Linked DNA regions of Drosophila melanogaster. The protein of the gene in region 3 interacts with the protein of the main gene of each other region in a pairwise test. Each region holds a gene or a part of one and is shown on either strand. Other genes may lie near its edges.

Region 1 (6,967 bases), on a different chromosome or scaffold from region 3:
CAATTAACTGGCGTGTCATTTTTTGGTTAAACTGCTCGCGCGGAATGCAAAATCGAGGCAGTTTAAATTGTAACAGCTGCGATCACGTCATCGCCGTCGATGGCGTTGATTCGAAGCGGTCTATTAAGCTCCAACATTCGAATGATACTGAATACCGAATCGATCGGTCGTCTTCTCCCAACTATTCACATTTTACATACCATATGCCATGTGCCTGTGGTGGGTCAACGGTGTCACTTAGTTGATGGCCTCGAGTGTCCAAAAAGCAGAGATGCGTGTGTAAATTGATCAGCTTTACGGAATAAGTTGCAGTTGAATCATTCATGATTGACTTTGATTGCTATCAAATTGATTGACGACTATCTTAGTTAATTAATTAGTTTGAGTTATCATGAGTGTGCTAAAGGGGCGTGGTTGGGTTTAAATCTTTGTCAGTTCTGTCAACACAGACTTTAGATTTAGTGTTTTGCGTAATGGTTATTTCCTGGGAAGATACACTTTGAGAAATAAGCACTTCATATGTTCCTTCATTGTGACCTTGACAAGGTTATACGAAATTTACATGCATTTCTAATAGAGGGTTTGTCCCCAATATATAATCAAATACATAAAAATGATAAGCAAATATTTTTTATTAAAACTTTTAAAAATCGATAACCGCTTAAAGAAATTTCTACAGTTGGCGATCAGTCAATCAGAACGCAGAAATGAGTATAAAACATATCGAAAATTTTTTAAATGAGAAGGTGTCTACAAAAGAGCACAAGATATTTTGTGACGTCAATGGGTATACTAAGAGAACGCAAGAGAAAGAGATTGTCATAAATATACAAAAAGAACTCAGTAAATAATTGTTGTGTCTGTGAAAAGAAAAACATCAGTATCATTTTTCTCTGCCTCAGCAACAATTGTAATTGGAAATGGAACCTATACTGATAGAAAAATCTCAGTGGCCAGAGCTCAGAGATTTGTACGCGAATGATAGAACTAATCTCACGGGATTCGACTTAATCGAGTACTTTTTAAATTACATACCCTTATCCACAACCGAATCCATAAAGATATATACAACTGATACGGATTGGAGAACACATGGCAGTTATATACTAATTGTAAGCACATATATAGTTCACATACACTAGGTATGTGAAATATAACTTTAGATCTGCATTTCAGCATTATTTGGAGAACAAGGCCTATATTTATATGAATACCATTAAGGGAACCCCAGAAGATCTTGGCAAATTGTTGAACTCTCTAAAACTTAAAGTGTTTCATTTAATCTGTGGCTATGAAGAACGATTCAAACCATTAGTTGAGGCATATTGGCTGAATTTGGGTCAAGATTTGATTAATCTTGAACACCAGGGCGCTATTGTTTACCACCTGCCAAGCACCGAAATTCCCAGTTGGAAACCAAGGTAAAGTAAAATAATAATATTCAGTAAAATCTTGTTACAAATTTCTAACCCTTTAGTTTGAGTACCTCTTGCAAAGTGGCTTATATCACATCAAATCATGCCGAATTGGTCGACAAACATTGGGCTTATCGTTCAGCTGATTCTATAACTATGATAAGGGGTTTTATGGAGAACAATCTCGCTGTTGGTGTTTTTGATAACCAAGGAGAACCCCTAGCGTGGTGTCTAAGGTAAGAAAAGAAGATGGGTTTGATAATATTCCTGAAACAATCTGTATTTTCTAGATCTCCTCATGGTAGTTTGAGTAACCTACACGTTTTATCCTCACATCGTCGAATGGGATTGGGTTCTTTGGCAGTGCGCTTTATGGCTAATGAAATCAAGTTAAAGGGCTCAGAAGTTCTGGCCACAGTTGTTCCCGAAAACGAGGGTTCGCAAAAAATGTTCGAGAAACTAGGATTCAACAATATCAACAAACTCTACTGGGCAGTGATACCGTGCACTTTATAAATAAAGAATAAATACAGATTACAAACGTCTACTTTTATTATGAGTTTCGATTTACTTGTTTGCTCTCTTTGTAGTGCACAGCTTTTCTCTTATCTCATTTTGTTTTTTTTTTTTTTTGTTTCAAGTTTAGTCTGCGTTCAGCTTTTGTTGCGAAAGGTTGTCGTCATGTCGACGGAGAATTCGTTGGTTGAAATTCCACGCGGCGAATGGACTAAACTGCGAGATTTGTATGTGGCCAGAGATACGGATCCCCAAGGCTATCCGTGCATAAATAATTTCATTAAGTGGGTGGAGATAGACCCGCAATTGAAGGTCAATTTCCTATCGTTGAATGGCGACTGGCAGAGCGATGGAACCTTTGTTCTAACGGTAAGTTATGCGATGTGAAATGCAAAAGTTCGGTGATTGAATGTTGTCTAATCATCTCAGCTACGTTCGGATACTCATATGAACCACATTTACTTCAACACACTGAGCGAAAATTTGGATCGAGTGACGAAAGCGTTAGAATGCCTCAAGTCCATTGAGAATGAATACGATTTCTTTGGGTTTTCTACGCGATTGAAACCTGTGGTGGAGTATATTGGCAACAAATATTATGCCAACAAGAAGCTGCACACTGTGGATACCGTTTGGTACGCGGCCAGCAAAGAACTCGTAGATACATTTAACATTCAGTGAGTTTGTACTTTATACTCTATAACTCTCAATGAAACGAATAATTTCAATTTAGGGTTCCTCCGGGCTTAAGTCTACAGCACTTGACCATCGAAGATGCCGAAATCATCAATGAAAACTGGCCACATAATAAACCCGGCTCTATAGACTTTGTGAGAAGTTTAATTAAATATAATATTAATTTGGGTGCTTATGACGACAAGGGAAAGTTGGTTGCCTGGTGTCTGCGGTAAGCCATCGAACTGTATATAAATGTATATAAAAACTTATTAATTAATTAACTTTCCTGTTTAGATTGCCGATTGGATCCCTGGGTCTGCTGCAGGTTCTGGAGTCACATAAACGCCTTGGTCTCGGCAGCTTGCTGGTGAAGTCGATGGCTAAGAAGATTTCCGCAGCGGGAGATCAAGTTTTGGCGCCAGTAGTAACGAAGAACACCCCCTCGAGGAGCATGTTCGAGAAACTGGGTTTCCGTGCTATAGACAATACATACTGGGCTGCCTAGCAACTGAGAAGAAGCCAAAAACTAACATAAATATTATTAAAATAAATATAGTGTAGGAAATGATTGGTTTTTTAATAATAAAGAAGAGTGAATCAGCTCATTCAATTATAGCTGAGCACCCATGAATTTGAGCTTGAATTAAATTGAGATGGATTGTAATGTAAATTTAATATAATATATTGGATAAAATTGGTGAATATAAAATGATATAATCTTGAAATGTTAATGATTTCAAAGGAAGTTATTTACGCTTCCTTTGCACGTTTCATTTTTAATATTTTTTATAATGAAACTTGTGCTTAAATTGTCAAGTTAAATTTCCGGATAATATTTACTTTAATGGTCGATGGTTTTTATTATGATCAGTTTACCATAAACTGAAGCTGAAACTAACTAACTTAGAGTTAATAACTTACATGATAGATAAAAAACTTACACAACTACCATTAACTATTTTTGGTAACTGGCATTACAGAAGCAAAAATGAGTCATCGAATCTAAAATAACTCATAAAGCAAGTAACGCTTAAATATAATTTACGACGGGCTTGTACGACGGCATTATCTATTACCAATAAAACCCATCTCATATTTGTTTAGTTCTGATGGCCCAACAGATGAGCACAAATCTTATCCTAGCGCTGGGAAATCCCACCACGACTCCATCACCGTGTCAATGTGCCGCGAACTTTCCAATGACGAGACCGAGAATACGCACCAAACATAATGACTATAGTATATAGCTAATAAATATTTAAACTATTTACTCACCGGTTGCGAGAGAATATCAGTATGCACGTCACGGGTTTGAGATACATACGTACGTACATACATGCATAGATACAAATGGATGGGAGAGGGCTGCCATGGATTTCCGCAACAAAGTTCGCAGAATGCTGATATGAATGGGCGGGGGGCAGTACATGAGTACGTGAGAAAGTACCGATCGATGAAGATCAATAACAAGTGCAGACACGGGTCAGCCATGTAAACAAAGCCGGGGTATAACCAGTGACTCGTCGACGAAACCTCTCCCAGATCCAAGCTCGCCAAGATCCGAGAGCAGCTGGGGATGCAGAGCGCGAGAGATCGGGGACTTGAAGGAGCGTTTTTGCTTGATAACAAGTTTCCGATTCCAGTTTTATAAAGATGCGCGCTCAGCGCCAATCATTCAGTCTGGCTTTAACAACTCGCACAGCCACATCGCGTTTGCCTCTAAAAAAAAAAAAAAAAATATATATATATATATATATATATATAAAGTTCGTTCTGTGTGTTGCGTTCGAGATTAACAAAAAGAAAATTACAAAATGTGGCGCTTGCTTTTGGCACTTTTGCTCGTGAGTTCGGTGTGCTGTGAATCGGAACTATTTCGTGATGACCTGAGGACCCCGGAAACGATGGCCTACATCAATGGACTGATGCAGCGGCGGCATCAGATGCAACAGGAGGCGCAGCAGCACATTCAGGCGATACCGCCTGCGGTGCCCCTTCAATCGCCCGGCCTTGTGAACGGCCTTGGCAACCAGAATGACCCTGCGTTGAATCGCATATCCGGCACTTCGGTGAAACCTTCCAACCTTCCGGCTGCCTACTCCAACGGCTATGTGGATCTGGCCACCTCTGATCGGATTGCGAACAGTGTGCTGAACTTTGCCAACATTCTGGGCCAGCATTTGGCCAACGGTAAAACCCAGATATACTCTCCCCTGAGCATTGTACACTCGCTGGCTCTGCTGCTCCTGGGCGCCAAGGGTCGCAGTTACGAGGAGTTGTCCACGGTCTTCGATATTCCGGACACGTCCAGGCTGCACGAACAGTTCGGCCTGATGCTGCAGGATCTGCAACAGCCCACCAGGGAGGCGATCTCCGCAGGACGACCGCTGACCGATTGGCGGGCGAGCAGCGCGATGAGATCCAATCGACGGGCCCAGCGACCCGGTGCTCATGAGGTGCACCTGGCCAATGGACTGTTCACACAGACCGGCTACACACTCAATCCCGACTACAGGTGAGCCGAGCAGCGGATAATTATCCGGCTGCAAACTGGAACTATAGCGATATCTGGTTGGGAATGGGTGCTGGGAAATGCCAAACGATTAGCGATCGCCTTGAGGTTTTACACCGTGAAAAACTGAAGGCCATGCGGGCTAAAGTGATCTCCTTTTCTGAATGCCAAGTGAGGGAAACAGGTTCATTGTACCAGCAAAATGATCTCACCCATTATCATCAAGCGTTTAGTGTCTCTTGATGGTGGTGCTCCAAAAGGAAGTATTTATTTTATATTCGAAGATAATATACAACGAGAAAATATTAGAATATATTTTTCTGTGTAGAAATGAGCGTGTAATTCCACTTATATTTATGAATCTTTAAAGCCCAAGCTTTCATTGAGAAATATATATGTACGTACGTACGTATAAAGTTTAGAATATAAATGGGAACCATTGACAAACAAATTTAGTAAGAACTTTTAGTGCGATTGTTTTTATGTAGAGAACTTGAATAAAATTAAATCGGAATTGGAATTGGAATTATCAGTTAATCAAATATTTAATTAGAAACCTTAGGTCAAATAGTAGGTACAATGAATTGCCAAAAATTTGGCAAATAAAAAGCACTGATAAGAATGGATTAACTTAAAAACATAACTAAGACATTTAATTATTTATTTATTCTTCAATTATAGCTGATCAAACATTGCAAAAAAAGCGGAAAAAAACTACTTTCCCAAGTTATTATTTAGCTCACCAGATATTGCAATTCCAACCCATCCCCAGTTCCCCAATACTATCGCTCCACTTTGCACAACGTTGTTGGCATACTAATAGCTGCGCCTTGTTGATTTATTACTCATGAGCTCCACTTTTGTGCAATTCCAGACGGGTGATCGTCGAGGTCTACGCCTCGGATCTGCAGATTCAGGATTTCGAGGGCAGTCCGGCGACAGCACGATACAATATCAATGCTTATGTGGCGCAGCACACAAAGAATCACATCGAGAACATCATCGCCAGCGATATTCCGCAGACCACCAGGATGATTCTGGCCAACGCATTGTACTTTAAGGCATTCTGGGAAACGGACTTTATAGAGTCAGCCACACGTCCGGATAACTTCTATCCGAATGGCGAGGGAACGGAGCCGGTGATGAGGGTGCAGATGATGGCCACCGGTGGTGCATATCCGTATCACGAGGATCACGAGCTGGGCTGCAAGATCATTGGACTGCCGTACAGGGGAAATCTGAGCACCATGTACATCATCCAGCCGTTTAAGTCGTCGGTGAGGGAGCTAATGGCACTGCAGAAACGTCTGACGGCGGATAAGATCGAGAGCATGATCAGCCGAATGTACAGACGGGCCGCTCTGGTGGCATTCCCAAAGATGCATCTTACGGAGTCGGTGAACTTGAAGACAGTCATGCAGCGAATGGGGCTGGGCGGCATCTTTAGCGCGGTGCAGAATGATCTCTCGCTCATCGCCACCAACGAGGCCACGAGGACGAATGCGCTGGGCGGCAACAGCCTGCAGAATCTGGAGGCACAGCGCAGAGCCGGAACGGGTGGAGCACGTTCCGATCTGGTGGTGGATGACATTGTTCACAAAGTGGACTTCACCGTCAACGAGCAGGGCACGGAGGCGGCGGCGTCTTCGGTCACATACCTCAAGAAATCCGGTCCCGATGTCCTCTTCCGCGGAGACACTCCATTCATGGTCCTTGTGCGCCACGATCCCACGAAACTGGTGCTCTTCTACGGACTCATAAATGAGCCCCCGGCGGCCGCTTAGTTTCTAGGATCATAAGTTATTAAGCTTTAGCACCTAAGTTCGTTGACTTTATAGTTAGGAAA
Region 2 (8,501 bases), on a different chromosome or scaffold from region 3:
TTGACCATTTCATAAGCTGCGAAATTTTCGTTTGTTTTGATCGGTTTTATGCGGCATACATAGTAAGTTTGTAAGTTTTTGTAAGTAGGTTTTTTTGGTGTTTTTCGATATTTTGTCATGTTGTTTGCGGCGTCAAAAATTGAATTCGATATAGTTTTAATTTTCCGTTTTAGGCAATACAAAGTTGATATATGTAACAAGGACAAAGAGTTTTTGCAATATACAACTAATATCCATCGATTCTAGCTGAGATCCCTCATCCGCCCAGGTTCTTTCAATTTTTCAGCGCCTGAATCGCACATAAATCATTTGGAACTTGGCCAAGTGGTAAAATAAAAAACGTGAACGGAGTCAAGGCCAAAATCTTTGCCAAAGTCCAACAAAACAGCGTGGAAAAATGCGACAAAAAGTGCGGAGGCGGCAATGTGTATTACTCTTCAGAGGCTGCACGTCATTTAAACGAGTGTCAGGCTAAATACGCATATAAACATCACCTTTCCAAAATGAGCCTAGTGCTCAAGGAAAGACGATCCGCCGCGGAACCATCAACTTAAACAGATATCCGCTGAACATATGTACATATATAAGTGATGCGAATATTGAAATTTTAGTGTAAGAAAAACAAACAAACACTTCCTGAAAAGCCGAAAAATAACGCAAGAGATTGTACAGACTCTTATCCAAACCTATTAATGCAAGATTTATGCGACTAGAGACAATACTATCCCTTCGGAAATATTAATTTATTTAAATAAACTCGCAATGCACTATCCAGCTTTGTGAAAACGAGAAAATGTTAAACTGCACTTAATAAAACTCGGCAATAAGGACAGGAAGAGATCGCCTAACTTGGGAATCACCAAGTTTCCGGTTTCCGGGCAACCCATGTTCCTTACAAGGTGGAAAACACAAGAGCATTGGCCTCTGATTAATGATTCCCTTGCACGTGTGCGCTTTGCTTGATGCGGGATCCATCAGATGAATGAGATTCTGAGAAAGGACAGGTGGGGAAAGAAAAGAGCATTCTCCGTCTGGGGAAACCGGTTTCGTCGAGAACACTAAAGTAATTAATTGAATACAAAGTTGTCGAAAGAGCACACTGCCGACAATATAAATACACCATCACCAAAACTGGTTACATAAAACAAATTTTCGTTTCGCATTATATTTTTTTTGGGTATGGCATGTTTTGCTTTGCTAGTCTTTTAACTTTTCTTTGGCAGACAATTCGAAACCGAGGACAGGTGTTTGCCGTTGAGCTCTGGCCCCAAAAAACAAAAAAAACAAAAAAAGCTGCCCCAGCAGAGCCAACACCACCCCCGGTCACCTAGCACCTGGCACCTGCCACAGTACCCCATCCTCAACCATGTTTTTTACCCATCAATACCCAACCCATTCTCACATATCACGAGACCCACACCGCTCCTCAGTCCCCAAAAGCAATCGACGCGCTACTGTAAATAGAAATGGCGAAAAAATAAGTACACTCTGATACAAATTCAAACGAATATGAGACCCCAATTGTGTTATTGAACTGTGTGCAACAGTTCTTGAGAATGTTCTCACTATATTTAGTACCAAAAGTATAACTAATTGAATGCTAGAACGCTCAAAATCGATTGTGCAAACGATGTTTTCAAATAGATTGCGCCGAGTCTGGTAAAGGAATGGCTTACCAATTTTTTTCTAGTGCAGAGATGTGGGCAAAGTCGATGTCTGACTAATGCCACATGTGATGTGATGTCTACGGTCCCAGGGAGCTGTGCGGACATTCTCTGTGACGTCCATTTAGCCACCCATATATGCAAATTGCATCGAGCGGGGCGAAAAAATGATAAATAAGTAACAGTCTTGGCGACGCATGCACTTTGAGTAATCGATAAGCAATCAAACGATCGCCGACGCTATTAAATAGAAGCACGCTAGCGAGAATGGGGTAAATGCGAGGGGTTTTCCAACGATTCCGATTGGCGCTCATTCGGGGGCCTGACTATATAACGACCTATATATACTATGCAGTCCTACACAGTTCACACAATCCATACGTCTCGCTGAGTAAATACGCACGAGTTAAGAGCAAATAGCGGACCGGGCAAGGTCGCCATCGCAGCGGCAATTTGCATGCCAAAGTTTCCCTTTTTCCTGCCGTCAATCAGGCACTCATTCAATCTTCTGTGCGACTGCAGCACCTGCCAGAAAGTGGCAACAAATGCAACAAGCAATTAGCCAGGAATTCATCAACACGAGGGGAGCAAACGAAAACTCGCTGCGGGTCGGGTGAATTGAAAAGCGGAAGCAGGGCGGAAAATCGGAAGGAAAGCAGCCAGCCACCTGACACGGGCTTCGGTTGCCCGGAAAATCGGAATCAAGCGAATGGAAGCTTGGCAGGATCGAAAAAATTCATGAATAAGACAAAAAAATTCATGAATAGAAAAAAGGAAGCAAACAAAAAAATTAAATATTCTTCTACGTTCAGTTTCAGACAACTTTAACATTATACATACATGGAATTCAATAGCCCTAGCTGTTCATAACTTTTGTTTACTCTTCAAGTGTCCAAGAATCCATGTACATGAATATATTTAAATAAAGCATTTTAAAGGAAGTATTTATAAAATAAATGAATGAATTATAATAAGTTGAAAGCAGCAGAAGAGGACAGAAGAGGCGAAGAGTCAGCACACACTTCGAGAGTTGAAACAAATGGTTTCGAAATCGGTCACTATCTAAAACGATACTTACTTAATTGTAATATTAAGAAAGCATTAAGCAGGGGTTATGTACTAACAGAGCCCCAGATTTCTCAGCAAACAGAACCAGAAACAGAGAGCTAGAGAGAGAGAGAGAGATCTCAGCTAGTCGATGGATTGGACCAATTCAAGGGTCAAAGGTCGCAGGACTCGGCAGAGGAGGAGTGGGGGACACCGATTAACTCACCGTCATGTTGTGCTCGACCAGCTTCTCGCTGGAACATATCATGTAGACGAGATAGGCGCGTATTAGCTCTCCAGTGGTCTTGCTCTTGAAAGCAGCAATCGGATCATTAAAGCTCACGTCCAGGGGATCCCTCTGCGGCGAGCCAGCGGGCGAGGGGTTCTTTTCCTGGGACGACTCCTGCTTCATCGATCGCTTCACCGTCTCGCTGGAGACCACCTCCGGTTGGACCAGAGTGGAGGCCTGCAGCGGCCGGTCGCCGCTGTGCAGGAAGCGCGCTCCATTGACTCCTCTCGTGGACTCCGATGCTGCTCCTTCTCCGGCGATGCTGGTGCTCCCGCTGCCGCGCTGATGGAAACTCCGGCAGGCGGCGACGGCCACGGAATTGCTCGACTTGCTGCTATTACGGCCGTAGACCAAACTGATGGCTGTTCGTTGGGCGCTCAGCGAACGGAGTAGAGCCATTACAAGGGATTCTGCGGTTTATTTACGCTTTCTGCTCTTCGGCTTTTGAGACGGTTATTGAAACGCACTCCAATCTCGGTTGTTGCTGCAAAAAGAAAACAATGGAAAGCAGAGGTAATTTCACTATTATCTCTACAAATCACTACGAATCTGAGGGAAGACAGTGGCGTAACGAAGAGATTACTAAAGGTGGTTATCTCGTTTTCAACTCGATTACAATAACGTTTTAAAAAGTGGAAATGTGGTACATATATAACAAAATTATTACGACTGTTTCAAAATATGCATTGATTTTCAATAAGATCATATAGAATTGATTTAATTGTAATTGGATGATATCTAATTAATATAAAAATAATAAACAAATGTATAATAAAATTCAATTTATAAAAATATTAAAATCAGTGTACATATTATTATTGCAACTTTTTGCCTAATTGTGTTTTTTGCCCCCCCACAAACCCCACGCCAACGCCAATGATCACAGCTGATTTTGTCGGAGAGCTTTTCGCTCTCCCTCTTTCGCTCGCTCCGAATGTTATACAACAAATGCGAAAAACGTGAGGCGGCGAGGGAGAGCGAAGCCGAAAAAAACAGCACAACACAATCACACGTACGCAAGTACACCTTCGAAATGTTCAATTAAAAAAGTCAATTTCTGGGCAGAAATCTATCTTTCGCTATTATGTGTCTTTTGGGTTTTCTTCTTACTTCGTTCTTATTATTTATTCTATTACGCTTTGAGCGTTGTATACGCCGCAAAAGCACGAAACCAAATGCGACGAAGACGCGTGAAAATGGGGCGAGTTGTTAAGCGACGGCAAATTCAACGAAGCGAAACGAGGAAGGACCCGAGGGCGAGAAAATCCTTTTCGCCGCTTCGCTCCCGTTTATGTAACTGTAAATGTAACCGAGATTGTACCGTAATTGTAACTACGACTGTGTGACGTCACAGGCATGCCAGCCCCGTTTGCTTCTGATTTTGATTTTGATTTGGAATTTGTTTTGATTTAATTGAAATGCGCCGAAAGCACACACTAATTGGTGTTAATTGCGGCTCTCCTTGATTCTCCCCAATTTTCGTTCTCAGTTTTCCACCCATTAACCCCTTTTCCCTTTTTCATTTTATTTATTAATTAGCAGCCCGCTAAATAATCGCCAGACGGGAGGCTGCAATCAATCGAAAAAACTTGGCGGGTTTCATTGCACAGATTTCATTACACTTCATTATGGGCTATATCAAGTTCTGTCTCGCTCTGGCCGCCTTGGTTAAAGGGAAACAGGGAGCTGCCGTACTTAAATTGCGAATTCATCTGAATGGTTTTTTTTTTTTTGTTTTTTTTTCTTCATTTTTCTTATTTGTTGCTATGCGGCGAATTGTACCTATTATATAACACTGCTTACTGCTCTCTACCTCGCTTTGTAGAGATCCTTTTATGATACGAATACAACGCAGCCACTCACATGTACACTGCAAAATTTCGCTTGGGTTTGTGGGTTTCCTCTATTTGCTCGATATAAATTTTGCTTTAACGGTTGTTTTGTCACTTCAAAAAAAACAAACTACGATACATAACCAGCAACGACCCAAAAACAATAATAAGGGTAAACAATACAATTTTGTAGAATTTGTAGAATTGCCAAATATAGTTTTTCGGAAAAACTCGTGTTTGTTTGACAAACTTCTCACAGCAGCCTGCGAGAAAAGTAGAAAAGTTCCCGTTTCTGTCAGCGCATTTGCTCACCTCACAAAAGACACACAAGTACAAGTACAATTATAATTATTTTTCGGTTTTTTCGAGTCAATGTTGTTCTTTTCGAGGGTTTTTGGTTTTTGCTGCTGCAACAGAGAGCGTGAGCACGCGCAAGGGTCTGAATTCGCGAATAAACTGAAACACATGAAGCGAAATTAAGGCCAACACGGCGAAAGCTCGTCCAAAAAAGCTTGAGAGAAATTGTTGGACCAGTCGGTGAGGGGCAGAAAGGGGATGGGCCACCCCCAGCAGCTGTTTGGGCTGCACGTGAGCGAAAAAAAGAAACCCGATCGAAAATTAATCGCCATCTTGTCAACTCTTATTACCCAATAAAAATCGGCACGCTTATCTAGGCCCCTGGCGGTTGGCCGGGAATCTTCGGTGCTCTTATCTTATCAATGGACTCCCACACCAGCGTCCAACAAAAACGAACCATTCCTTCTATTCATCTCTCTCCCTGTCTCTTTCTTGACAACCGGCGTCTTGCAACACTGGCCTCGCAAACAGGCTTGCTTTACACCCAGATCACTGGAGAAATATATCGATACGAAATATACGCTCGCAAAATTTGAAATTTAGTTTCAGGTACGAAAATTATTCAAAATGTTTCTCTGTGTAAAGAACGCTTATCGTGGACTCAAGAAAGTATCAAACAGATTTATTTTAATTGCACTATTTACGCAAATATAAGGCCACCAAATGAATATAAGTTTTCTAAATCTTTCTAATCGGACCCTCCCAAGCCAAATATTTCCTTTTGCTGTGTGCCGAAAGAAGGGATTTTAGAAAAGTTTGAATTATTGTTAGTTACAAAATTGAGTATCCGAACTATTTGTTACTTTCAGCTCGCAATATAAATATAATATAAATATCGATAGTTATCGCCGTCTCACAAATCTACACACCAGCGATCTCTAAAAATGTCCTTTGGGTTTGTTTTAAGCGATTTTTTCGGTTACAAATTTCAAACATATTACTTCGTATAAAATCTTTTAAACTGATTAAAATTAAAAACAAAGCGATTCGGCTTGTGACACTAACAAAAAAAAACCTTTTACGTCTCAATTTACTTTACTTTAAAATTGTTTATAGAAAAAAGGTAAGAAAGTTAAGAAACATTTATGGCATCAAAGAAATCATGTTAACGTAAAAAAAAACTACAAGAACTATATGCACTCCATATTTTTTAATATACACAATGTATGCGTACATAGATACCAAATTGTTCCCGTATACTGATTACTTACTGGCGTTTCATAGATAAATATTGCAAAATTGGCTCTTCAAAATGAAAATTCCAAGTTTCCATTTTAAAATGAATATATTTTTGTTTGCAAATTGTTTGCGTTTCGACAAATATAGCAATAAGTTACGACTACATATTAGAAATAATAATAATTAACATTTAATGAGCGACCGCTGCTGTTGATTTTGCTGCTTAGCGAACGCGGCCCGAAAAAGGAGAAACTTAACAAGAAAAAAACAGAACAAGTTATTTAAATACCAAATATATACATAGATATATGCGTGTGAAACTGACTCGGGTCTCCTCCTACCGCCGTCATAACAAACAATACATAATTCGCTATCGCCGCGACTCTCTTCTCGCATTCTCTTCGGCTGGCTTGATTTTCTGTTATTACATAATATTATTGACTAAATTGTAGATCAACGAATGTCTGTTTTTCCATCTCCATTGGGCACCACCAGCAAATAGCTTTAAGCATCGTAAGTATCGAAAATGGGTGCTTAACTTGACCGCAAGACTATCATAAGGGCGACAAATTCAGTTTAAGGTTTTCGATTGATGCGACAATGTTAAAACAATTGAATATTAATGCACAGTTGTGCGGATATGAACTGAATATTTTGGATATGTGTGCAACATAGCCCGAAAAACATGTAAAACCTATCTATATATGTATGTAAATAAAATATAAAGTATTATTCCTCAGCTCTGACGTAATGAATGATGATATGAATAACTGCTAAGGACATGCTCTTTTGCTTTCCTAAAAACTATATAATAAGGTAAACAGGGAATAGTTTAAATATCTAAACATAATTTCAAATTATTGCAACAGGATATACATATGTGAATATGTCTTCCCCAAGTATGACAATCTTGCAGTTCGCTATTTTGATTTGGGCTAACTATTTGGTGGTAATGCTGGACAGCCAGTGGTGCTGCTGATGTTATTGGTGTTGCAGGCGCTAGTTGGACTTGGTCAGCTCAGTGCGGTTGGCGGCCACTTCGGCCAGAATGAGTAGATCTGAGGTAGAGGAGGTCACGTCGAAGGCCGCCTGCGAGGAGAGCGAGGAGGATGACGACGAGGAGTTCGAAGAGAGCGGTGGCGAGGCCGACGACGAGGTTACAGGGGCATTCACCGCCTTGGGAGCACCGCTCTGGTTAAAGTAGTAGCTGCCATTGATGGTCAGGGGCAGAATTGAGGCCACCTCCTGTTCAATGGCACTAACATCGCGCCGGGTGATACTTTCCTTGCGCGCCTTTCGTCGCTGGCTTCCCACAGCCTGCAGTTGCTGCTGCTTGATCCTCACGTGTTGCTCGCTAGATAATGGGACAGCACCTTTCGCCGCAGCATCTGCTGCTGCCACATTCGAAGTTGCTGATGCACCACTTGTGCTGTTCGAATTCCTCTGTTTCTTGGTGCCGCTAAACTTCTTCTTCTTTTTGGTGCTACGTTTGCGCTGCAGGTAAGCGTCCAAGCTGAGGGCTGGCAGCTCTTTGATTTTCTCCTCGAGATCAAAGAAACCACTGCTGCTTGACTCGGAAACGCTTCTTATATGTTTTTGCATGGAATCCGGACTGCTACCCTGACGTTCCGGTGGCGAAACGGGCGGTGTATTGGGTCCCGCATCCAAGGGGATGTCCACAAAGTTTCCACCCATGTTACCTGCCGGCGGCAAGCGAGCTTTGCTCTTCTTAGCTATGGCCGCCAATTGACCGGAATTGACCAATTCCTGGTAAATCTTGCCCTTGCAGGAGCGTGATGACTTGACCTTCTTGTTTGGCGAGCTACCACTGGCCGCCTCCTCCTCGCTGGAGTTGCTCGAGTTGTTGTCCTGCAAGGAGCGCTTATTGCCATTCCCATTTGTATTGCCAGCTGGCATATGGGCAGATAGAAACTGGCTGGTCTCGCTGAGCACCTGCTGTAGGGCGAAGTCCTTTTCTTGTACTTGAACTTGCAGTAGGGAGCTTAGCTCGCCCATCTGCGTTTCGTCTGCCAGTTTAAAGTAGTTGGGGCGCAGCATAGCACGCGGCATCTCCCCTCGCTCTGCCCACTGCACTTGCAGTGAAGTCGGCACCTGCTGCTGTGGCTGATCTTC
Region 3 (8,556 bases):
GATAAATATATTTAGTAAATAGGAGTGGTATTGGTAACAATGCTCAATTCTAACATTTAATTTTTAAATGGTAATTTAACGGATACTTATCCGAGATGGCTGGCTTGAAAAGCCAACTCATCCTTAAAGTGAGTTATAGATTATAGTTATAATATTTATGCGACTTGCCACTCACTTCGAGTCGAGTGCGCCAAGATCTAAAACAAATACTGTATATACTCCACGGCCTGCTCCAGTGCTCTGGGCTCCCCATCGGCATCGAAGTCAATTAGCTCCGGCTGCCTGTTTCGGGCGATGTATCGCAGGTAGCCACGTGTGCTCTCCATTCGCACCGACAACTTAATATCCCAGCCATCGCGACGTGGCGATGTGAAGATGGTGGAGCCGTGACAGTTGACCATCTGCAGCCAACGGGTGAAGCCCACGCCCAGGTAGTTATTCGCCTTGTCTACGATCACAATGGGCAGATCCTCGCTGGCCAGCAGGCGGATCAGCTTGCGCAGCATCCTCTTCTGAATGGGCCAGTAGTAGCAGGCAGGATCATATAGCATCACCAGCATATCGCTGCTGCTCTCTTCCCGCAACTCAAAGTAATTCATTGGCTTGGAGTCCAGTGAGGCAGTGGCGCCCAGGACTACGGCACGGAAGAGTTGATCCGCCAGCAACTGGTCGCAAAACTCCCTCAGGTATTTGGCGTTGACCAGCTTGTGCATATCGTACACTCGGCCCTCACAGTCCTTGCCATAGATTCGCGGTGGCAATCCCTTCCGGTAGCTGCCAAAGTCGTCGGGATTTAGGTTCGGATTGAACTCCCCGATGTTGGAGATGTCACGCAATCCGAACAATATACGACCGGCGTACTCCTGTGCCAACTCATCGAGCAGACTTATCCACTTGTCCAACGTGTCTCCGTGCCGGTTCTTAACAAAGTGAAACGCCACCACCTTTGGCCCATCAAATGTGAACCTCCCACCCGGCGATTTCCTATCCACTTCCGTTAATGGCGGTAGCCACAGAATCCATGGAATGGAGTTATTGTCGATGGTGTACGTCTTCACAAGAGCCATTTTCTCTCCGGACGGGAAATCGCTGAAGTAACTGTATTGTTGTTCCCAAAGATACATTTCCTTTTATACACTGCATGCATCACCGTTTAAATTTCACAACCAAAAAAGCTCACAGCAGCGAGCTTTTCTTAACATTGATTATGTTTGGAGTTTAACAGCTGCAACTCAATAACATGTTCATAAAACTAATTATTCCAATTGGAAGAAACATTTAAGCTTAAAGATTATGAGAAAAATATGAAGAATTAAATCTTAGGAGGCAGGGACAATACTCATTAAAAATAAAAGTTATTAAACTGTTGTGATGTAGTCAAATTTATTAAATTCCCTGAATACTTAGGTGTAATAATATTAATTAAATATCAAATGAACTGCCAGCGCAGTCGTTTCGTTTGCGAATCAAACAAAAGATAAATAAAAATTTGAATGTGTCTGTGAATAGAGGTGCTCTGCCGAATAATGAACTACAACCTAGCACATACAATCTATAACTTAACTGGTGCGCCAACTATTCGTGTGTGTACTAAAGCGCTGACCAAGTCAATTGGTCTATGATAAACAGAACCCCCAGAAAAGATACGCACAACCGAAAACTAATCAACAGAGTTAGCCTAAGTCTTAATATTATTTACGCGCTGCGGTAAATATATATAAAAATAGAAAATACAGTGTAGATTCCGTTTGGGCGCACAATTGCTTTCAGACGCCATTAACCCCGACTCCAAGTCCGACCTAGAAGCGCACCTGCTTGAGCTTATCGTAAATGCTGAAGTACAGGGCCGTCGTCATGCTTGACTTAAGGAGTGTGGGGGCCACGCCCTTGTACAAGCCCCTAACGCCCTCTTGGCGCACGGTCAGCCGCAAACAGTCCCAGACTCCGTGGCACTGCAGTGTCTGTCCGAAGGTCTGGCGATTCGACTCGAAGCCCTGGATTTGCAGTCGCTTTTTGATCAAATCGAAGGGATACACGATCGTCTTGGATAGCATGCCCGAGGAGGCGCCCAATCCCAGCAGCGTCCACGTGGGCAATTGGCTGCGATCGCTCACCTCCAAGAAGGCACACGCCCAGTCGCTGAACAGGCGGTAAGCCATAAAGTTGGTGCCCATCAGCGGCGTTATTTGCAGCAGGGCGGAGGACAGACCGCGGTACATGCCGCGAGGTCCCTCCTGGCGGACAATCGCCGACACAGCCCTTGTTGCATTCCTGTATCCCTTGCTGGTGTCCTGGGCAATCAGACGAGTGCGGATGACGTCCAGCGGCGTGGATATGATCACTGCTGCTCCTCCGGCCGCAGCGCCGCACAGGAAGTTCGATAGATGCTGATGATCCGCCAGATAGCTGGTCTGTTTGGCCATCAGGCTGAGCTGCTCGTACGTCCAGAACTGACAAATGCCGTACATTATGCTCAGCACTTGGGCAGGATTGTGTCCCTTCCAGAAGGCCAACATTCCCTCCTCGCGGTATATGGTTTTCACCGCCTGTCCGATGGATGTGTATTTGGAGGTAAGGGCTCCTGGTCCCTCCTTGGCGGCGTTCTTGCCCAGCGGCTCCACCTGCAGCTGGAAGCGGATCTTTAGCACGTCCAGCGGCTGGCAGGTGGAGCGCGTAATGGCCGCCGAAAGTCCACCGGCCAGCATTTGATGCAGCTGCTCCCGCGTACTGTGCTTGCGTCGCGGAACGGGAGTTGTGGTTGTGGTCGCCTCACTGGTGGAGCCTGTGGTTACCGCCATGTCTGCGTCGGAGCTACCTTTGGTTTTGCTTTTCGTGTGCGTATGTTTGCTCGTGCGGATTTCACTTTTATTGCTGCGACTGCCAACTTTTCAATGGCATTTCTGAAAATAAAGAAACGCAGACAGGTGGAGACGTTATTACAGTCGGAACTATGTAGATGCAACTATTAACTCGGACTTAGCAACTTCTATGAGGCTGGATCTAATAGGTATAGCTTATATATTATCATAAAGAATTTGTTTTGAAGGTTACTTGTAATTTACTTGACTCTTGTGAAATTCAAGGTAGATGCTGTTAAAAAGAAAGCTTAAGATTGTTTCTTGATAAAAATGAAATATGCTAGGTTTTACTGGTATCAAAGATGGAGTTTTCGAAAATCCGACTTAGCAAAGCTTGCCTGTAGCTTTCATTCAAAACGTTTTAGAGGTGCGGCAGGGCGCAAACTTCGACTTGTTTACACACATTCATCAAAGTCGATGGACAAATTGTTGTGTACAAGTGCGTAGACAGGAATTGGGAAATAGTAGGAGTGGAATTCATCTGAGGATGAGACTTACAAGTATCATGCTCCACGGAGCGTGCGTATGTCTCTGCGATTACTTCACTATTATCTCGGTCGGTTATGGCCAATTGCCCGCCAATTCGCAGAGCTCCCAAGTTGACTCCAGGTTCAAACGGCCGTTCATTGATTGACAATAGCTCGGTTGGTATTCGGGTTTATCAGCGATTTCACTTTTTTCCGCTTTTGTTGTTCGATGTCTCGGCGACCGTTGTCCAGTTCCCAAAATTCCGATGCTGCTGCTCAGATAAAGAGACAAAGGCATTGGCAACACGCTCGATGGTGATGATGATGATGTTGCTGAATGTCCAGAGCAGCGCACTACAATCTGAGCTCACCTGGAGCAGATGCGTCCGTTCGCGGGCAGAGTGCAGCAGTGACTGCGGCGCCGACGCTTCTTCATTACAGGCGGCGGCCCGTGGATTGCGTCAAAACTTTCTTTTCGCCAGACTTGTAATAGCGCCGCCGTTGAGATGCCGTTGCAGTTGTGTCAATCCCCTGCTGCCGCTGTCCAAGTTGGCCGCTTCCCACTTCCACAAACTGGTTTTCCGAATTCAAGACGCGCTGCTTCAAACCTCTACGCAACAACAACAAAACAAACTAAATTACGTCGCCAAGTGCACGGAATCAGCTGTTCGAGCCGCTGGCGATGAGCTTTTAGCGAACAGCGATGGCAACTATCGGCTATCGTGGTTGACAACAATAGTAAGAAAATAGCTAGAAGCTAAAATTCAGTTTTAGGGTTTTCTTAATTGGGAACATAAATATTTTTTAATAGTAAGCATAATTCCTGAAACCAGATCACTATGTTTATACTCGAGTTAATAAAAGGCCATTTAGGATTAAAATGATACTAACTATCGATATTAATATAGCTGTCACATGCACAGCGTTGCCACTTATGCGGGCTTTCTTGTATATTTAAAAATGCCTTAAGGTGTAGAATACAAAATGGTTAAGTTATGGTCCCTATTTCCACCCAATGCCGCCAGTGGAAGAGGCGGCTGGAGCACTAGGCGTGGGTTTATAGTCTGGTGGTATACTGAATCCAAGCACCTCAAAATTACCGCCTGGCGGAGAAGCAACAGGTGTGTTGGTCGTATATGGTGGCGATTTTTGTGCGGCTGGCGACACAGGATTTGGTGTGAATTTCACAGGCGTAGCAGGATGCGCCTCCTCTGCCTTGGGATAAAGACTGGGAAAATTAGCTGCCCCGTTTGAGCCATTGGTTCCAGGCTTCCCATCAAATGGATAGACGGGATATCTTGGCTTAAAGGTGTTGGACTCGAATTGCTCATCGCTGACGTCCTCCTGAAAGTTGGGTGAGCCTAAGCCGGAGAAACGTCGATTAATAACACTTTCGATTATGCTTTCTTTAGTGCAAAACCCACCTGGATGAGAGGCACCACTGGGCTGGGACTTCTCCGCCCCGGGCCCCTTGTCATCAGCACTTCCCAGCAGCGGCACTGTGCCAATGGTTATTGGAAAGTCCATGACCAAGTCGCCACCACCGTGCAGCTTGAAGGTCTTGGCGATGAATCGCAATGTGTAGCTAACTCGAATGGGATCCTTTTCGCTTTGCGTGGATGGAGTAGTTGGCGGCACCGTGAGGAACTCATCGAACTTGGCCTTGTTGTGCTTCAGCACCTCACCGCAGTGCTTGTCCGCCACCCGAGATTCGGTTACCTTCAACTGCTCCTTTGCGCCCGATGAGTTGGCTCTATATGAGACGTTCTTGATCAGACGCACCTTCACGTCCATACATTGGACATCCGACTGGTTGTCCAACACCAGATGGAAATGAATCTTCTGGCCGGGGACGTAGGCAGAATAAGAGGTGCTCACGTCCATGATCATCGGCTTGTGGGCACCGAAAATGGAGCCCCACCAGAAGCTCTTCGACTCCAAGCGTTGGAGGGGTTCCTAAGGGAAGTGCGCTTCATAAGGTTATTCAGTTTGGAAGAACAACCAAGACTACATACCTTATACTCGAGCCGCCTATTAAGATCATGTGGCAGGATCACCGTGAAGCACTGCTTAAATGTGTTGTTGTAGCGAACCGCGCGATCGATGGTTAGGGTAACCTCGTGCTTAATCTGACCATGAGCACCATTGAATGAGGTGGGTGCATTGGGCGGAATGGTAGCCCGGAAGGGAAAGACGTACTTGCCGGTGGGCAACTCCAGCTGCGAGCCACCGGCCTGGCCGTAAACCGGCTGGTCAGTGCTGTAGTAGACCTCGGTGGTGGTGTGGGTCACCAGGGACTTGGTCGTCTTCCCATCCTCTCCCACTCGCTCCTCGCTTTCCTGCCAACGCGTCTCGCCGTATCCATTTATGGTTATAAAGATCGCTGCAATTGGATTAATTTGTCTGTACTGCCGGGTATGTAATTCAATTATGCATTTAGTTTAATTGCCATTGACCTTGGACCTTTTGTGTGTTTCGGATGTAGAATTGTATTGGAAAATTGCTCAGCTACAAACAACTGTCTTTGTTAATGAACTAACAATAATTTAATCAGAAGCATAAAAAAAACGAATGCTACCTAATAAAGTTCACCATCAAATTAAAGCGCTGCTAAGGCTCGACTATTTGATACCCTAGGAAATATTTGATTATTTGAATTTGAACCGATGGCTAGGGTCCACTTAGCTTGCTAATGGGATTTGTATAAATTTATATATATATGTATATCTGCATGAATTACGCCTAATTGACCCAAAATGCTACCTATACACTACAATTTAAAGGTATTGGCACGAACGGGCTGACCAGTAACTGAATCAAATATCTAATAATACAAACAGCGTACGCAATTTCAAAACAAAACTAGTTTTTACGCCGCTATCAGATATCCGCCAGCCAGCCAAGCGGCCACATGTGTGTTGTATATAAACTTTATGTATACATACATATATGTACATTTGTATATACAATACACATCTTTCAAGCATATCTACCGGCAACAATAACATTAAACCAGCGGATAACAAAGCACCAACAATATTAAGTGGATATTTATTTATTAGTGGATGGTAAAACGGTATGGGATTCAGAATTTGAATGGTGATGGAGGGGGATGACGTCATGGTTTCGAGTCCATTAGAATACATATGTATGTAGTGCGTCTTCTTCCGCATGTCGGTGTCACTTACATCGAATCGTCTTGGGGCGCTCCGTAATCAGTTCCGCCGTGCCGGAGATAAGCTGACCGGCTTGATAGAGCCCCAAAGGATTGCTGTCGAAGACGAAGTTCACCTTGCTGCTCATCCTGTCCAGAATTGGCTCCTTGGCGACGGTGTCGGGTGGTATCGCGCTATCAAGTTCCTTTGTTTGTTTTATTGATAGTTGGTGGAAGAGGTAGGGATTCGATGTATTCGAGGGTTCCGGCGACTCAGCTCGCAAGCTCCGAACGCGAGCAGCTCTGGCTTAATACTGAATTCTCAAAAGTCTTTGGTGAGACCGAAGAACCGAGAAGCAAACTTTTGTGCGCGAGAGGTTACAAGAAGAAGAAGCGAAGGACAGAACGGGGAAGCACACGAAATACTATATGGAGCATTATGCTGCTAAGCCAACTAAAGTTTAATCTTAATAAAATATGTATGTATGCTTCAATCATCGCTGACATCTAAGCTGAGCGTTTTGTTATCTATACAGTAAAATATTTGGTAATTATTATTCGTAGTGAAATATATCAACTTAAATTATTGGCGATATTCAAACAGAGAGTTTCTTCTTCTCTTTTCAAACATCAAACCATAAAAAAAGACCATTACTACCAAGCATTTCTGAACTCTTGCATTACAACTGAAAACAGTGCATTTAAGAAACGCTGTTTAGAACTTAAACTTTAAATTAGACACATTTGAAAATACCGATTAAAAAGTCTGCGAATTAACCGCTTCAGCTGGCCAGGCGCCCGGTGGCAGCACCGCGCAACAGCTGTTCGTGCTATCGGACCGCCGCTCTCACGGTTATCGAAAGAGAGCTGCAGCTACAACAAAAAAGCGTAACTCACGGATCTCGTAAATTTATAAGAAATTTAATTATTCAACCCGCCAGCGGACGACAGCAATCGAATTAAATTAGCCCGGGGTGTGCGACCAACACTTGTGGGCCATTGCGAATTGATGGATATCGAGATTCCCCAAGAACTGGCCACAATCAGCGCGAAAAAGCTCCCACTCACCGCGCGGTGTGTGTAGTAACATCAAATCGTAAATCGTGAGGCGAGTGCGTGTGGTGGTGCTACTATTCTGCATATACTTTAGGGTGGTGCGGGCCGTGGTGCTGCAGTGCATCCATGTACGTTTGTATGTGGCGGCATTTTGATGACGAAATTATTTTTGGATAAGTGCGTGAGGAAAGTGGCCAAACCGGAGGAGTCATCACCATCAACGCCAGCGGAATGGAAAGCGAGCGGCTGCGAATCACGCTGGACAGCGCGGATCGGGTTTACTTTGCGGGCGACATAATTCGCGGCGAGATCTGGATGAACGTCAACAAGCGCACCAAAATACGCGGTAAGTGCCAGTCGAGCATAACTTGCCGCTTCCTGGAATGCACATCTCAAAGCTCGGCTTGCATCATCCATGACTCAGCTGTAGACACGCAGAGAAAGTGTTTCAAAACCCTACATTTAACGTTAGGCTCTTAGTTTATGATTCTGGGTATTGTTTACATGTGTACATATAGATCGTATTACCGAAAAGATTTAGCTTAGATATAGTAATCTAATATTAACAAAGATGGTTTTCTGCACAACCCATCATGTACTCCACAAATAGAAATGTGCTTTTTTCTGTTTTGTCAGCGGTTTGCAATCCATTGTCCGCCCGATGGTCAGCTGGACTTTCGTTGCGGCCCCATTCGCATAAACAAAGAACTCCATCAGTTAACAAAGCACAGCGGCCATTTTATGGGGCTTCCTCCCCCTCCGCTTCACCGCAATTTCGAGATTCTTGCTCGCAAATTCCTCTAATTGCCTTCGGCGCTCGCCTTTCATTCATCGATAAGCTTTCAATTGCCGCCCGTTGCAATTGCAATTGAATTTCTTTTCGTTCTTCACGATTCTTGAGTACTGGCATTTGTTTCAGGAAATGCCAACCCAAACGCATCGCGCGAGAGGGGAGTGTAGACGGTGGGGGCATGTGCGAAGAGAGGCACACTCAGTTGGCGTGCCGAAAAAGCCGTAATAT
Region 4 (7,137 bases), 6.2 Mb from region 3:
CAAACCTTCGAGATGAAGCTGCTCCGTCTAAGCCTTTTAATTCTCCTAGCGGTGAAGCCCCCAAATCCCTGTGAATCAAAGCGCATAGTTGGCCCCTTTCCTGCGGGTCAATCTGGCAGGATAAAGGGTGGCGAGGAGGCTGAGATCGGATTTGCTCCATACCAGGTGTCCCTGCAACCCATAGTGGGCTCCCATAATTGCGGTGGTGCCATCCTAAACGAAAACTGGATCATAACTGCTGGACACTGCGTGGAAAATTTCATTCCCGCCCTGGTCAATGTGATCACGGGCACCAATAAGTGGGCAGAGCCCGGAGCGATCTACTACACCGCCGAGATCCACAAACACTGTATGTACGACCAGCCTTACATGCATAACGACATCGCCCTGGTGAAGCTTACCGAGAACATCACCTTCAATGAGCTGACACAGCCGATCGCTTTGCCAACTAGACCGGTTCAACTCGGCGAAGAGATCGTCCTCACGGGCTGGGGCTCCGATGTGGCCTACGGGAGTTCCATGGAGGACCTGCACAAGCTGACCGTGGGCCTTGTTCCTCTGGATGAGTGCTATGAGACCTTCAACCGAACCAGCAGCATGGGTGTGGGTCACATCTGCACCTTTTCGCGCGAGGGTGAGGGCGCCTGTCACGGCGATTCCGGTGGTCCGCTGGTGAGCAATGGCCAATTGGTGGGTGTGGTCAATTGGGGACGACCATGCGGTGTCGGACTGCCCGATGTGCAGGCCAATGTGTACTACTACCTCGACTGGATTCGCAGCAAGCTCAGTGGCAACAACAAATGCTACTACTAATTTACTTACCAAATTGAATTAGTAAATTGTTAGAAAGATTTCAGAGGAAAATAAAGAAAAATTAAGACTATTATAAAAGTGGCCTTTTGAAATGTGGTTTATTATCAAGTGGAATTAAAAAAACCATATCTAAAAATAACTCCACTTTTTTTTTGAACGCCTTCGCTTATCCAGGCTTAATTTGAAAACACAATTAACAAGAAAATATAGACTCATAAATTAAAGGTCAAATTTACTTACATATATGAAATTATAGTTATGAAATAGAAATTAATAATAAACCATAAAATATGGGTAAACACTCAAAAGTAGATATAGAAATCTATATTGCCTGACTATCTGAGAAGGAATACTAACACGATTTTCTTATTGTTAATCTGCCATTGATTTTATTTCCACAAGTTAGTCACCGTACATTCTTACCTAATCAAAATTGTATATCTTGCTCAGCATATCGTCGTCCCCTTGGATCACAGGCTGGGATAGTTACTGGCATAGCAGTGACAGTTGCTACATGGTCCCGAGATCATGCTTCTGATCCATTCCAGATAATAGTACACGTTGGCGTGACTATCGGGAACTCCAAGTGCACAGGGATAACCCCAATTGACCAGACCGTAGAGTACTCCGTTGTGCGTCAGCGGACCGCCGGAATCGCCATGGCAGGCTCCTTGTCCACCAGTCGTCAGTGTGCAGATATGACATGGACCGTTCGACGGATCGTTGTTCATTATCTCCTGGCAAGTCGAGTACACGACATGCGTGAGATAAGCCTTTTGCAGTATATCGGGCGTATCGCCCCAAAGTTCCGTTGAGCCCCAGCCCGTGAGGAGCAACTGCGTCCCATTTGCCACCGGAGCTGTGGGCAGCTCAGCCGGTTGAGTGTACTCATTGAACTTGATCGTATCGTTTAGCCGAATCAAGGCAATATCATTGTGGTAGTCGGGACTGTTGTAGTTGCAGTGAATCCAATGCTCCTCCACGAAATACACGGCATCCGGCTTTTCGTACTCCACAGTTCCTGTGATCACTCGCAGATAGGTGGGGTTATAGCCATATACGCAGTGGGCTGCCGTCAGGACATGGCGTTCGTCGATGATGCATCCGCCACATATGTGACCTCCGTACATTCCCTGCAACGATATCTGGTACTTGGCCTCGCCCAACTGCACATCTTCGCCATTGATTACGCGATTCTGGAAGTTGACTCCTTCCGCCTTCGAGATCCACTCCAGCTGATCCTCACTAAGCTGCGCCAAACGCACGGCGCTAATGGGCTTATAGCAAGTACAAGCTAGCAGGATCACCAGGATCTGCACAACACCCAGTCGAACCATAATGGTGGTGGGTGCTTGACTTTCAATGCGACAATTAAGCCTGCATATGGGCAGTGATTTTTCTTTTATACTCGAACGTTTTATCGTAAGTCTTGGGGTTTTATCGTAAATCGAAATCAATGTTTCCGCCCCAAGTATCTATGTCATAAAGCCTGATATCGTAAAAAGATATAGACGCACACTGATTATCATTTTGTGACAGGGCAATCAATGTCAGCGCCGTCATTGGATAAGAATAATATCTAGAATGGTCACTTGCTGGATATTACCACTGGACTTTGTAAAACCGAGGGTTGCATCTATTACCATCCACGTCAAATATCTAAATGATATATTGATTTGATCAAGCAAGTCGTATTTTCCAATATCATATTCTAATTGAATATATTTTTAATAAGGTTTCAAAAAATCTTGAATCTTTTAAAATCATCTCATTTTTGGAGATGCCGCCAGCGGTTGTTTGCAATCAGGAAATTTCTCTTTACCATCTTCAAAATTTACTAATTTTTTTTAATGCATACCTAAAAGTCTAAATAAAAGCCGATCTATAATCTGGACTATACATTTTGATAACGGAAATGCAACGAATTGAACAACAACAGTATTCTTAGTTTACGAGATGATCCATTTGAATTCATTAAAAGTAATTATCACTATTTATTACATTAGATTAGGCCAAATAATTTCACATATAACAAACAATTTTTCAGCCCTAGCATGACATTATCTTATGCCATAACATGTTAGCAAACAGTTCCATAAAATTGTGATTGCCCATCTAAAAGCAGGCAATGACCACATGAGTAAGGGTAAAAGTTATCAGCGTTGCTTTAGTCAATACATTTATTTCACATATTTATACAAAAATACATCATAATGATGCCAGTTAATCGCTCTCTCCTTGTATCTCTTTTAGTTAACACGATTCTTGCATCCTGAATGAGTCCTGCGGATCCAATCCTGATAGTAAACCGTGTTGGCATACCTAAAAGGATTGACAATTGATTAATTCCCACCTTTAAAGGGGAGTGGATATACACCATCTTACATGTCTGGCATGCCGACGCCGCAGGCTCTGCCCCAGTTGACCAGGCCCACCAGTTTGCCCTCCCACATCAGTGGACCACCGGAGTCTCCGGAGCAGGCACCCTCGCCCTCTCGCGTAAAGGTGCAAATATGACCGATGTCGATGCCATCGTGAAAGTCCCATCTCTCTCTGCACTCCTCGTGTGCGATGATGGTCAGGTTGAGGGTCTGCAGATATTGCACTGTGGGATAGCTACTTTCCGGAGCACCCCATCCCGTCAGAGTGACCGTGGAACCCGCCGGAGGTTGCTCTCGGCTCAACTCAACGATCTGGGTGCGATCATTGAATATAATCGACTCGTTGACATGGATCAACGCTATGTCATTATTGTAGACATAGGGTATGTCGTACAAGCAATGGACTAGGGCCTCGTCCGGAAATAAGGTCTGTCCTGGCTCCAGACGATCATTCGTGCCCACTATAATCCTTAGATCCTCGATGCTAAAGTCCAGTGCACAATGACCCGCGGTGAGGATCCACTGTTCGTTGAGAATGACTCCGCTGCAGATGTGGGTTTTCCAGATGGTCTGAATGGACACCTGATAAGGTGCCACTCCGTCCTCCGCCTCCTGGCCACCCACAATGCGATTGTCCAAAAGTTTACGATTGTCCAAACGCTTTCCGCGCGTGACGTCAATGGAAGTGCCCAGCAGAAGCAGCCAAATCAGAGACAAACGGACAGCCATCATCCAAAACAAATATTTCCGAGACGAGGGACAATGCCGGACAGCGCGAATTAATGACCAGCAATGGAAAATTGTATGACCCAACTGAGCGTTTTTATATGCATTCCATATAAACCTATTTTATCGCACATCGGGAGTTGGCTCACTTGGGTTTTTTCGCGGCCAACTGACCACTGGCCAGCAATCTTTATGGCCATTCGCAGTCAGGTATCTTTACGGCTGCAAGGATAAAACCCAATCGGTAAAGGCGGAACGTCCAATTGGACCTGGTTGCTCATAAACCCATGGACTTGTGTGACACGGCAAATCTCGGCACTCTATAAATGCACCGGTCGAACTAGCGAGTCAGCTCATAATGACCACGGCCGCAATGCCGCATATGCCACTTATCGCCGTGTCCAGACCCATAAACTGCCTATTATCCAAAATTCGACCAAACTGGGCGATAAGATCCGTCCTATGAAGTGTAATTTTAAGGTGGCCCGGCTGAGGGGTTTTAGTTTCGATTGTACCGCGCATATACCAACCATGACAAATAGGTGGAATCTTACGGTGCTGCTGGGTCTGACTCTGCTGGCTCTTCAGGGGCCAACGGAAGCCATGAGGATGCGAGGAGAACCACTTCCGGGTTTGGCCAATATCGAGAGGCATCGCTCCACCGAAGCTGTGCCCCAAGGTCGTGTGATCGGTGGCACCACCGCCGCCGAGGGCAACTGGCCCTGGATAGCAAGTATCCAAAATGCATACTCGTATCACTTGTGCGGAGCCATCATACTCGACGAAACTTGGGTGCTCACAGCGGCCAGTTGCGTGGCGGGATTGAGGCCATTAAATCTGCTGGTTGTGACTGGAACTGTGGACTGGTGGGATCTGTATGCTCCGTACTACACTGTGAGCCAGATCCATGTGCACTGCAACTTCGACAAGCCGCTGTATCACAATGACATAGCCCTGCTGCAGTTGTCGTCCAAAATCGAGTTCAACGATGTGACAAAGAATATAACCTTGGCGGATATCGATGAATTGGAAGAGGGGGATAAGTTGACCTTTGCCGGTTGGGGCAGCTCCGAGGCCATGGGCACCTATGGTCGCTATCTGCAGGAGGCATCCGGCACATATCTGCCGGTGGACGCATGCCGGGAGAAGTTGCAGAACCAAGATGATGTGGACCTGGGTCATGTGTGTGTCCAAATGGACGCGGGCCAGGGCGCCTGCCATGGCGACACTGGCGGACCGCTTATCGATGAGCAGCAGCGCTTGGTAGGCATCGGTAATTGGGGTGTGCCATGCGGACGTGGCTATCCGGTAAGTATTCCGCCTATATCGAAGAGTAATATATGTATTTATTGCCACCTATTATTATCCACTAGGATGTGTATGCGCGTACTGCCTTCTACCACGATTGGATCCGCACCACCATGAATGGATGTACGATCGCCTAGTCATGGGTACCTCGTATCTGTGCACTGAGAGAAATGCGGCTCATCATGCGGCCAGAGATTTTAAATATGACAAATATATTTTAAAAGCACTATTAAATATGATTTAATCATTAAAGAATGTATATTTTTTCTTATCACTAATACGTTTTCGAATCTCAGTTATTTCTGGGCAAAGTATTTTTAAGTATGGGATATTTAAGCTCAGTTCTACTTGCTTAAAATTATTTGTTTCAGGGTTGGTGTTTAAAAAAATATTTTTTTTGGTTAACGTTCTGAATTAAGCATATATAGCCTTTATCATAGATTTTAATTAAAATAACCTTATCTAACAATTTGTTACCTTATGTAACTGAACATTTTTCATTTTTTACCCAAGTGTATGTACTGGCAACATGATTTGTGTTGATTTGCTGATTTATAAAAAGATATGGGATTTTTACGAGGGGAGAATTTGTGGGTTTTGTTCAGGCTGACCATGATTGAGATTGCAATACCTTTATGGCGGCTCATTAATATCACGCCAAATATCTAATATCGTATACTGAATATCGTTTATTGGAGCTTAGTTTCTTTTTAGCTGCACTGCTTTGCAATTAGTCCAACTTCAGCTGTTCGTCCAAGATGTCTTACCAAACCGGAGCGGTTTCTACACTCGTCCTCGTCCTGTTGGCGTTATCCTTTTCGGAGGCAAGTTTACGCCGTCGGGCCTTCACTTCAGAAAAATCCGAAACCGCGAATAAATTTAGCTCCCGAATCGTCGGAGGAGAAGAATCCGATGTCCTGGCGGCACCCTATCTAGTCTCGCTCCAAAACGCCTATGGGTAATTAACTTATCCTTATTTATGTTATCCTAGTTTCCCTATTGGTAACAATTACTAACGTATTACCACAGAAATTATACTATTTTTTTAAGCAATATATTTTTTTAGTGTCTTAAGTAACATTTTATTTTGAAGTCTAAATAGTGAATTATGCAACTCTTTTAAGTAACCACTTTTGTGCCGGCTCCATTATCCACGATCAGTGGGTCATCACCGCGGCTAGTTGCCTGGCTGGATTGCGAAAGAACAACGTGCAGGTGGTGACCACCACCTATAATCACTGGGGATCGGAGGGCTGGATATACTCCGTGGAGGATATCGTCATGCACTGCAACTTCGACAGCCCCATGTACCATAATGACATTGCCCTGATCAAGACGCATGCACTATTCGATTACGATGATGTCACTCAGAATATCACAATCGCTCCGTTGGAGGATTTGACCGATGGTGAAACGCTAACCATGTACGGATACGGCAGCACGGAGATCGGAGGAGATTTCTCATGGCAGCTGCAGCAGTTGGATGTAACCTATGTCGCGCCGGAAAAGTGCAATGCCACGTACGGCGGTACTCCAGATCTGGATGTGGGTCACCTTTGTGCCGTGGGAAAGGTGGGAGCCGGAGCATGTCATGGAGATACCGGAGGACCCATCGTTGACAGTCGTGGTCGCTTGGTGGGCGTTGGTAACTGGGGCGTTCCGTGCGGCTATGGATTTCCCGATGTTTTTGCCCGCATTAGCTTTTACTACAGCTGGATTATATCAACGATTAACGGATGTGCTATTTCCTAAGTGCAAAAATTCGTATCAATTACTTTTATCCTGGAAAAATAACTTTATTCAATAAAATACTGTAAAAATTGTGGTACGCATTTTCAATATCGCCAGACGAACATTTTTATATTACCTAGTTTATTACGGATGTTCCAAAAGATACATTGTCTCCTAA

The links.
Region 1: the proteins of Tpc1 (region 3) and CG12560 interact in a two-hybrid assay, tested with the Drosophila melanogaster proteins (one large-scale study listed by BioGRID).
Region 2: the proteins of Tpc1 (region 3) and slgA interact in a two-hybrid assay, tested with the Drosophila melanogaster proteins (one large-scale study listed by BioGRID).
Region 4: the proteins of Tpc1 (region 3) and CG17475 interact in a two-hybrid assay, tested with the Drosophila melanogaster proteins (one large-scale study listed by BioGRID).

What each region holds. Positions count from the first base shown.
Region 1 is NT_033779.5:8,004,589-8,011,555, reverse strand, and holds CG12560 (uncharacterized protein), read left to right. Parts: upstream 1-2,078; 5' UTR 2,079-2,096; coding exon 2,097-2,300; intron 2,301-2,360; coding exon 2,361-2,608; intron 2,609-2,664; coding exon 2,665-2,838; intron 2,839-2,903; coding exon 2,904-3,114; 3' UTR 3,115-3,235; downstream 3,236-6,967. Other genes in the region: Glyat (glycine N-acyltransferase), read left to right, coding at 921-1,112, 1,177-1,421, 1,478-1,651, 1,706-1,931; Spn28Dc (serpin 28Dc), read left to right, coding at 4,424-5,124, 5,996-6,905.
Region 2 is NC_004354.4:21,371,103-21,379,603, reverse strand, and holds the start of slgA (sluggish A), read right to left. Parts: upstream 5,293-8,501; 5' UTR 4,864-5,292; exon of another isoform or gene 4,783-4,863; intron 4,183-4,782; exon of another isoform or gene 4,111-4,182; intron 3,495-4,110; exon of another isoform or gene 3,485-3,494; 5' UTR 3,400-3,484; coding exon 2,938-3,399; intron 17-2,937; coding exon of another isoform or gene 1-16. Other genes in the region: bbx (bobby sox), read right to left, coding at 7,368-8,501. UniProt on the Drosophila melanogaster protein: Converts proline to delta-1-pyrroline-5-carboxylate. Involved in the conversion of proline to glutamate, which functions as a transmitter at neuromuscular junctions. Glutamate deficiency could possibly account for reduced motor activity.
Region 3 is NT_033777.3:10,878,207-10,886,762, forward strand, and holds Tpc1 (thiamine pyrophosphate carrier protein 1), read right to left. Parts: upstream 3,983-8,556; 5' UTR 3,357-3,982; intron 2,901-3,356; 5' UTR 2,799-2,900; coding exon 1,800-2,798; 3' UTR 1,366-1,799; downstream 1-1,365. Other genes in the region: CG14695 (uncharacterized protein), read right to left, coding at 198-1,067; CG14696 (uncharacterized protein), read right to left, coding at 4,328-4,686, 4,750-5,281, 5,341-5,708, 6,514-6,628; leash, read left to right, coding at 7,767-7,881.
Region 4 is NT_033777.3:17,128,234-17,135,370, forward strand, and holds CG17475 (uncharacterized protein), read right to left. Parts: upstream 2,194-7,137; 5' UTR 2,151-2,193; coding exon 1,284-2,150; 3' UTR 1,106-1,283; downstream 1-1,105. Other genes in the region: CG31265 (uncharacterized protein), read left to right, coding at 13-813; CG4053 (uncharacterized protein), read right to left, coding at 3,063-3,135, 3,199-3,923; CG31266 (uncharacterized protein), read left to right, coding at 4,452-5,228, 5,294-5,365; CG31267 (uncharacterized protein), read left to right, coding at 5,987-6,186, 6,353-6,980.